2 linked regions of the Caenorhabditis elegans genome follow. The protein of the gene in region 2 interacts with the protein of the main gene of each other region in a biochemical or structural test. Each region holds a gene or a part of one and is shown on either strand. Other genes may lie near its edges.

Region 1 (3,928 bases), on a different chromosome or scaffold from region 2:
CAAATAACACTGTCGTTATTTCTATACTTTTGAGTTTGAATTTGTGATCTTGTGATTGGAGTTATTGCAAATAAGTTTTGAAAAATGATAGCCAATTTTGAGAATTTGTTCAAATTTTTGTTGCCTGCCACCCATTTTTCGCACACATGAAAAAGTATCTTTAATTGTTTTGAATAATAAATATTTCATAATAAGTACATATATCATATTAAATAAAGTATAATTTGAACTTCCGCGTTCCTAGAAAACAATTAATATAACTTCAAGTCCTTAACTCCCCCACTTTTTCTGAGAAGGGCAGTAGCTCCACAGGGAAGAGTTAATTTTGAATAAAATGCTATTTATATTATCATGTATTCGGTTATTTTTCTTATTATATTTTTTTAATTCCCGCTTTACTTTATCCACTTTAAAATTGTATTTTTCAAAATTTAGGCAACTCAAGTTCAAAATTATTGTAGTAAAAATAGGAAGTCTACTTTTAATATTAACAATAACAAATGATATAAAATTCAAATCATTAAAGAACGTAGGAGTTCAATATTTTAATATGTTATATTAAAAATGATATGTTGAGGAAATGCGAATATATGGACGGTGCCTAATGTGAGGAATTTCAGTAATTTAAAAACTAGCTTTAACCCCGGAGTGATTTAGATATTTAGAAAAATCCATCGAGATGCTGAAGTTTGAAAAAGAGGGGGAGGGGGAAACGGGGTAGAAAAGGAAAAGTACCAAAAAATCAATTACAGGCTCCGCCCTAATAATGGTTTCTTTTTTGGATTTGGAATTTTCTAACTATTTTATCAGTGTTTTTTCTTACTTTGTTCATTTTTCTATTCAAATTCATTCAGTAAAATTCTAAAATTTTGCAGTAGGCACATGTGTAGGCCGCCAAGAATTATGTGTTTTGTTCTAAGAATTTCTAAAAATATGTTGTATTTTCATTTATTTTTTCAATTTCCCCCACCCATTCTTATCCTTTCCAAAACCACCTGCATTTCTGAAAAAAAACTATTTTTTCTTTATTTTGCCAAAATCTCTCCCATATCCGAAGCCATAAATTTCCGTTGAATTTGTTCAGTTTTACGATTTTCGCATTAGCTTCGATTCGTTTTTTATGTAAATTTTTTCCCGAATCCAGGAACTTTTCAATTTAACTCTTAAAAATCTATTTCCATGCAAAAACGTTACCTCATCCTTCTTGCATAACGTCATTGTTTGCTCTTTTTGTTCCCGACGGCACCGCCCATTTTGCAACGTTTTCATTAAGTTGGTAGAGAATTGTTGGTGTAGAAATGAAAATAAAACAAAGAAATGCACAAAGAGCAACTTTTTGACCTTTTTTGTCTGGAACTACTTTTTTATACTTTTCAAGAAAAATCAGAATTTGTCTTATTACCTGAAACTTGTAAATACTTGAATGTTCTAACTTTTCAAAGAGAAATTGGCACAAAAGTTTTCAAAAGCCACGACAACGCAGGAGCCAGCAATTCAGCCAATACCTGAAGTCTAAGCCTACGCCTAAGCTTGCGCCTAAGCTTGAGCCTTAACCTAAGCCTATGCCTGTGCCTGTGCCTAGGCCCAAGCCCAATCCTGAGCATAAGCCTAAGTTTTAGCCTAAGCGTAAGTTCAAGCCTAAACCTAACCCTAGGGCTTTTTTTATTCTATATTTTATTTTTTTTTTTTTCAAATTATTCATTTTCTTTTTTGCTCTAACTCCCAGTAATTAATCACCAATCTATACACTGATTTTAAAAAGCAGCTGCAAAGTTCTATGACATTTCATTCCGTTCCCTTCTACGTAATTTCTCAGACACCCCGCTCTTTCATTGTGATTTCATGGGCATCTGATTTTGGAAAATGATTCAGTTTTCGTGTGCAAAATAACAACATTAACCATCATTTTTGCAGGTAAAAACAAAAAGCAGGCGCGCGCGTGGCCTTCTCCGCCAGAATGTGGTACATCGCTCTCTTGTTGGCCGTCATCGCCACCTCGGTCACAGCACAGAAAGGTTTGGAAATTCAAATTTTTAGAATGAATAGGAAATTAATATAGTGATAATTGTATTAAATAAAATTAATCGTGCTCAAGATTTTGAGCTGAAATTAAAATTTTTAAGGTTTTATCTCTTTGATTTTGCAAATGTCATGTCTCGACTTAGAAAACTTATATCTCAGAATTTTTTTTTTTTTTGAAAGTATTTGAAAGTGTTTGAAAGTGTTCAATATCAAACGTAGAATAATATTCTACACGCAACTTGCCAGTTGACATCTTTTTGATAATAAAACAAGTAAGTTTTAGTAGCTTCAGGAAGAATGCCCCCGTTCTCTTCTGTTCCAATTCAATTGCTCATAATTTAATTGTTTTTGATCATATCAAAAAATGTTTAATTGTGAAATTGTAGGAAAATATTTGTCAAGTACTTTGTTAATTAATGACTTTTTGATAAATCAAAAGCAAGAAAGATATAAGCTTTCAAAGTTGGCACAAATTGAAAAATATTAAATCCCCTCCGCATTCTTTGTAAATTCAACTTCCTAAAATTATATTTTTGTACATAGCAATTTATTTTTTGGAAATTTGTGAATTGAAAAAAGTATTTGTAGTTTTTTTTGTTCATGTTTTGTTTTGAAATTGAAGGTTTTTTGGTACTTTTCCGATTTCTGCCCCCAAAATGTTTTTCAATTTTTTAATTTAATTCACACGTGTATGTTTATTTCAATAGTATTTCAACTTTTAGGCTTACTATTAGAAAACAACAATACTAACAAGCCTGAAATTACAAAGAAGTTCACGTTTCAATAATGAAATTTTCGAAAACATTTTGGGGGGCAGAAATCGGAAAAGTACCATTTTTTTGTGAAAAATTTGATAACACGAAGGATATTACGCTTAAAGTTGTCACAAGTTAAAAAAGAAGGTATTTTTGCGATGAAAATTTACTCGGAATTTTTAATCTTAAAATTGTTGTTATAAATATTATTGATATAATTCCATTAACCTTATCAAATTTTACAGCAGACGACGAGCCAATCGTCTTCCTGGTTCGAGTTCCCATTGATGAAATGGACGATGATTCAAGTCTTCTCGAGTCATACTATCATCCAAGAGGTTAGTTTTTTTTGGAGGTCACTTGACTTATTTTAAGGAAATGAAATAGGAAATGAAACTAGAGAATGGGGTGAGACCAAAGTGGAATATTTTGTTTTGAAATTAGAGTTTGGTTTCGGTTTGCAACAAAAAAATAGTGATCCGGAAGCGCACGGGGTGGGCGTTTTATGGCAAAGATCGGGTTGCAAATATGAAACTTTTTTCTTTGGTTTTTTGTATTTCTAAGAGCTTTTGAATAGGCATGAAATCATTCTAGGCTGTAGGCAAAACTTTACCTACCTACGGGCCTACGAGGCCGGTGTATTTCTCGGGTTTTATAAATTAAAACTTGAGTTCAAAACCTTCCTTCAAATAAAATTTTTTAAAAAGTTTTTCCATAATCAATTTTTTGCAGATATATTATCAAAACGAGCGATTCCATTCAACGGCGGTATGTACGGCAAACGATCAACAATGCCGTTCTCAGGTGGAATGTACGGAAAGAGATCCGGACAGATTTTTGCTCAACGAAGAGCCGCTATTCCATTTTCTGGGGGTAAGTATGAATGTAGGCACTTTGCAAGTTAACCTGCGCGGGTAAACATGGTGCATTGAACGTTTAAGCATATGATCTACCTATGCCTACCTCATCACCAAAGTTTCAACAATTTTTCATTAAAATTGAAAGTTACAAAATACTTTGAATTTTCCGCCGAAACGCTTCAAATTGGTGCCAAGTTTTCAAAGTTTTCAAAATCAATCTTAGGCCAAAACCAAAGCTTAAGCCTAAGTTTAAGCCCAAGCCTAAACCTAAACTTATTCTTTCAAAAAACT
Region 2 (3,928 bases):
TTTAAAGCATTTGTGATGGTTGAAACAATAGAAAACACGTGGAAATGGAAAACCGTAATTGAAAAAAGGAACATGGAAAACGTTTAGTTGTAGGAAACAGTTGATTAAAAAAAAACTTTCTCTATTGTTGATTAATACACTACATAATTTTTTAATTCAATCCGTAATAATGTTTTCATGTTTTCGAATACCTAAGATTCTGAAAATGTTTGAACTCCTAACGTTCTAGATATAAAAATATTCATATTCAATGATTTTAAAAAGTTTAACAATCAGAAGTAGATCTTTCCACCTGTTTTCCATCTAGTTCAATAAGTAAACTAGATGCTCCACCTAAATTTGTTGGTTCAGTTCCAAAATTAGACATTGAAATTGTTGCAGTTGATTTGAAGCCACGAGAGTGACGACGGAGTATTGTGCTTCGGACTCTTTCGTATCTGAAAATATACCGATTATTTGAAAATAAATTTAGTCTTAAAAATAAACGTTAGAAACGCATTTTACAGGAAAATGCATTTACAAGAGATAAATAATACATTTGAATAAAACTAATAAATACAAAAGAAGTAAACTAAAAGTGTCAAAAGCTTTTGCTCACCTTGTCTTACATGGCATCAGTAATATACTTTTGAAAGCTCTTCTGTACTTGTGACTGTATGCAATATAAATTATTGGATTTAAAGAACTCGATAGTAATGACATCCATTGGAATATTGGCCGAATCAACTGAAATTCTTGCTTTTTTAATAAGATAAATATGTAAACAGCTACCATTGAAGTAATTTGAAAAAGATCCGATCGCTGATCAGCAAAGAAGAAAAAATATGTGAAGATGCAATAGAGAGGTAACCAGCAACAAGCAAATACAATTATTACTGTTAACATCATTGTGGCAACTCGTAGTTTTACTCGATCTTCTCGGGCCTAAAAATATTAATATCAATTTACACATAGAAATTTAATGGAATCATTCTAATATCTAGTTTTTGCTAAAAATTTAAAAGAGCCTCGTAAAATAATTTCTTGGCTATCGATTTTTTTGATTTGTTTAAAAATATATAAAACTTACTCTTGCATCAACTGCCAGACTTCTATGTGTTGATACAGTGATAAATATTCTCGTGTATAGACCCGAAATCAAACCAAATGGAACTATGAAAGCCAGCAATAAGTTAACAAATAAAAAATATAATTTTTGATCCGTTTGTGACGTACATAATCGGTAACCATAACTGCCTTCTTGCCATACTATCTGAAATGCATTTTTTGAAAAAAAAACAACGATTTTAAATTTATACCAAATCATAGTTATACCAATTAGGTATTCCGAATATTGCAGCTACTAGCCAAACAGCAAATATAACATATTTTGTATATTCTCGATCCCAGCTAGTGTTGTATTTCAACGTATGGCAAATAGCTAGATAACGATCAGCCGTCACTGCAACCAAGGTGTAAACTGATGCAAATGACGTAGATGCGTTAGCCCATGTGGACAATCGGCAGAAAAATTGACCCCAAAGCCATTCTGAAAATATAAAGCTGTTTTCATTAAAAACGGAAATTTTGCCAAAATATCCCTATAATAGTCTTTTGAGAACCACTTTCAAAAAATGTCAAAATTCTCTGTCAAATTGCCAAAAATTTTAAAAATATTTGATTTTTTGAGAAATTTTGAGCACTGCTGCAGAATTCATACAAAGGATACGATTTTTGCTCAATTTCAAAATTTTTGATTCACACCGAAAACTGAGTAAAAAGTTATTCTGGAAAAATAATTTAAAAAATAACCTTACCTGTGAAAATGCTATTAATCAACGTAGTTGGCAGACAAATCCATAAAATAAACAGATCAGCAAGTGCAAGAGACAAAATTAGATAATCCGTGGTTATATTTAAATTCTTATGAGCCCAAACCGCTAAGACAACAAACGTGTTTCCAAGTACACCAGTGAAGAATACAGCTCCATATGCAACTGTATAAAGAACAGTTAGTTGATATGAATGTCTAAGTAGAGGGACTGGTTCAAGTTGTTCAACATCTGCATATAATGGCTCTACAAATGACGTATTCATTGTTTCCATTTGAACAGTTGCAAAAGTTCAAAAATTTGACATTGGCAGTTTTGGAGATTTTCTGAAATAAATGTATCTTTAAATAACCTGCGGAAGTTGAGTAGAGCATCAAAATCAGAATATAACAACTAATAAAATACAAAATACAAATTACTAGAAAAAGAGAGAAAAAAGAGAAAAATGATGATGGATAAGAAAAAGAAGAAGCCGTCTGAAGATAACCCAATGAAATGACGAAATGCATTAGTAGCGTCCCCCAAGAGAAAAAAGTTTCCCAATGAATTAAGGACGAAAATGAAATAGTTTTGACAATGAACTCAGTATCTATCATGTTAAGATATGATATTGCTACCTACAGTTGTGTCTATAATATCCGTTTTCGGGCTTTGCTTATTTGTAGAAAACCCTTGTTCTAACAAACGTTACAAGTGAATATAGCAAGAACGAGATCGCTGAATTCCGGCCGTTGTATCATCTGTCCAGAATGTTGTGAAATGATCAACATTGTTTTAACATGCAGACAACATTATAAACATCAACTTTACAGTTAAACTTTTTAAAGGTTCCACGTTTTTAGTTATACTCAGTCTAAAAAGTTAAAAAACGATTATGTGATAAACGAAGCATGTAGATACTCTTGGACACCATTCTAGCTTTACCCATTTTAAATGTCATTTGATGAATTCCTAAATGTTTCTGTTTCATTTATTGAATAAATAGGGAGGAAGATACTAAAAAACAGTTTTAGTGGGATTTGACCAATCCGTTTCGGATGACACAAACTGAGTTATAATATTGTAGTGTAGAAAAGTGAAAATGTGCTTTGTCATTAATTGATGCTCGTCTTGATTTCTTGTAAATTCTTTTGGCGGCAAGCTCATAGAGCCTAGGATCACATGAAAAGGTGGAGAAGAAAATAGAAAAAGTGTGAAGAAACCGCCCTCTATCATCATCATTGCCGGCACTTCCTTTGCCCCCTGCACCCAAAACTATATTGAGCCAATTACTACTGACTAATAGTTTGAGGACTCTGAGATTCTTGGAAAATCTGAGAAAATATAAAAATAAGAGAAAAGAGCAAAGATACATAAAAAAACATGTGTTGAAACAGAGAGATACGAAAACAGAGAAACTTGTCAAGCGGTCATGATGGGATATAAAAAGAGATGAAGTCACTGGGTAAATAGATTACGGACACTGGAAAACGGACAGAAATGGAATAAAAGTGTTCGTTTGACGGAAATATTTGGGTTCGAGTTGTAAATGTGATTTATATATTGAATTTGGAAGTTTGACAGGGATAATGTTCTTCTCGACCACAATGTAATAGTTTTTAAAAGTGCACTATTGTCTTAAAACACTCCAAAACTTTCTTAGATTTTTCAAAATCTTTAGTCAAAGTCAGCTTGCAAAATTTTCCAACTTTTCAACTTTTCAACAAATCAACTTTTCGAGCATCGCTGTAGGTACTAGACCAGGGGGTGTGCATCAAATCTCTAAATTTGCCGAGCTCGGTGGACAGCAATTTTGGAAAATTTGCCGCACGCCCTTGTGCTAGAGGACTCTGAAAAATTTCCCACGAACTCATCAAATATTCACTAAAAAGACTCCAACAAAAATCCTGACACAATTCTCTTGAATTCGAGACTTTCAGGTAACAACATTATTACGTGAAACTAGAATTTCGGCTCCTTGACTTTTCTAATGTTTTTGAAAAACAACGAAACTTTGTAACAGATTCGAGAAAAATGTCTTGTATTTGAACATTTTGTGAGCCTTTTCGAGCAACATTAAAGTTGAGGGTAAGAATTTTCATATCTCAAAATTTCAAAAAGTACAGAATTATCTCGGA

The links.
Region 1: the proteins of npr-35 (region 2) and nlp-10 interact in a test that uses a peptide from one of them, tested with the Caenorhabditis elegans proteins (one large-scale study listed by BioGRID).

Annotation. Positions count from the first base shown.
Region 1 is NC_003281.10:3,933,895-3,937,822, reverse strand, and holds the start of nlp-10 (Neuropeptide-Like Protein), read left to right. Parts: upstream 1-1,914; 5' UTR 1,915-1,957; coding exon 1,958-2,015; intron 2,016-3,022; coding exon 3,023-3,115; intron 3,116-3,509; coding exon 3,510-3,650; intron 3,651-3,928.
Region 2 is NC_003282.8:7,742,054-7,745,981, reverse strand, and holds the start of npr-35 (G-protein coupled receptors family 1 profile domain-containing protein), read right to left. Parts: upstream 2,144-3,928; 5' UTR 2,086-2,143; coding exon 1,797-2,085; intron 1,529-1,796; coding exon 1,299-1,528; intron 1,253-1,298; coding exon 1,070-1,252; intron 925-1,069; coding exon 772-924; intron 727-771; coding exon 599-726; intron 438-598; coding exon 266-437; 3' UTR 1-265.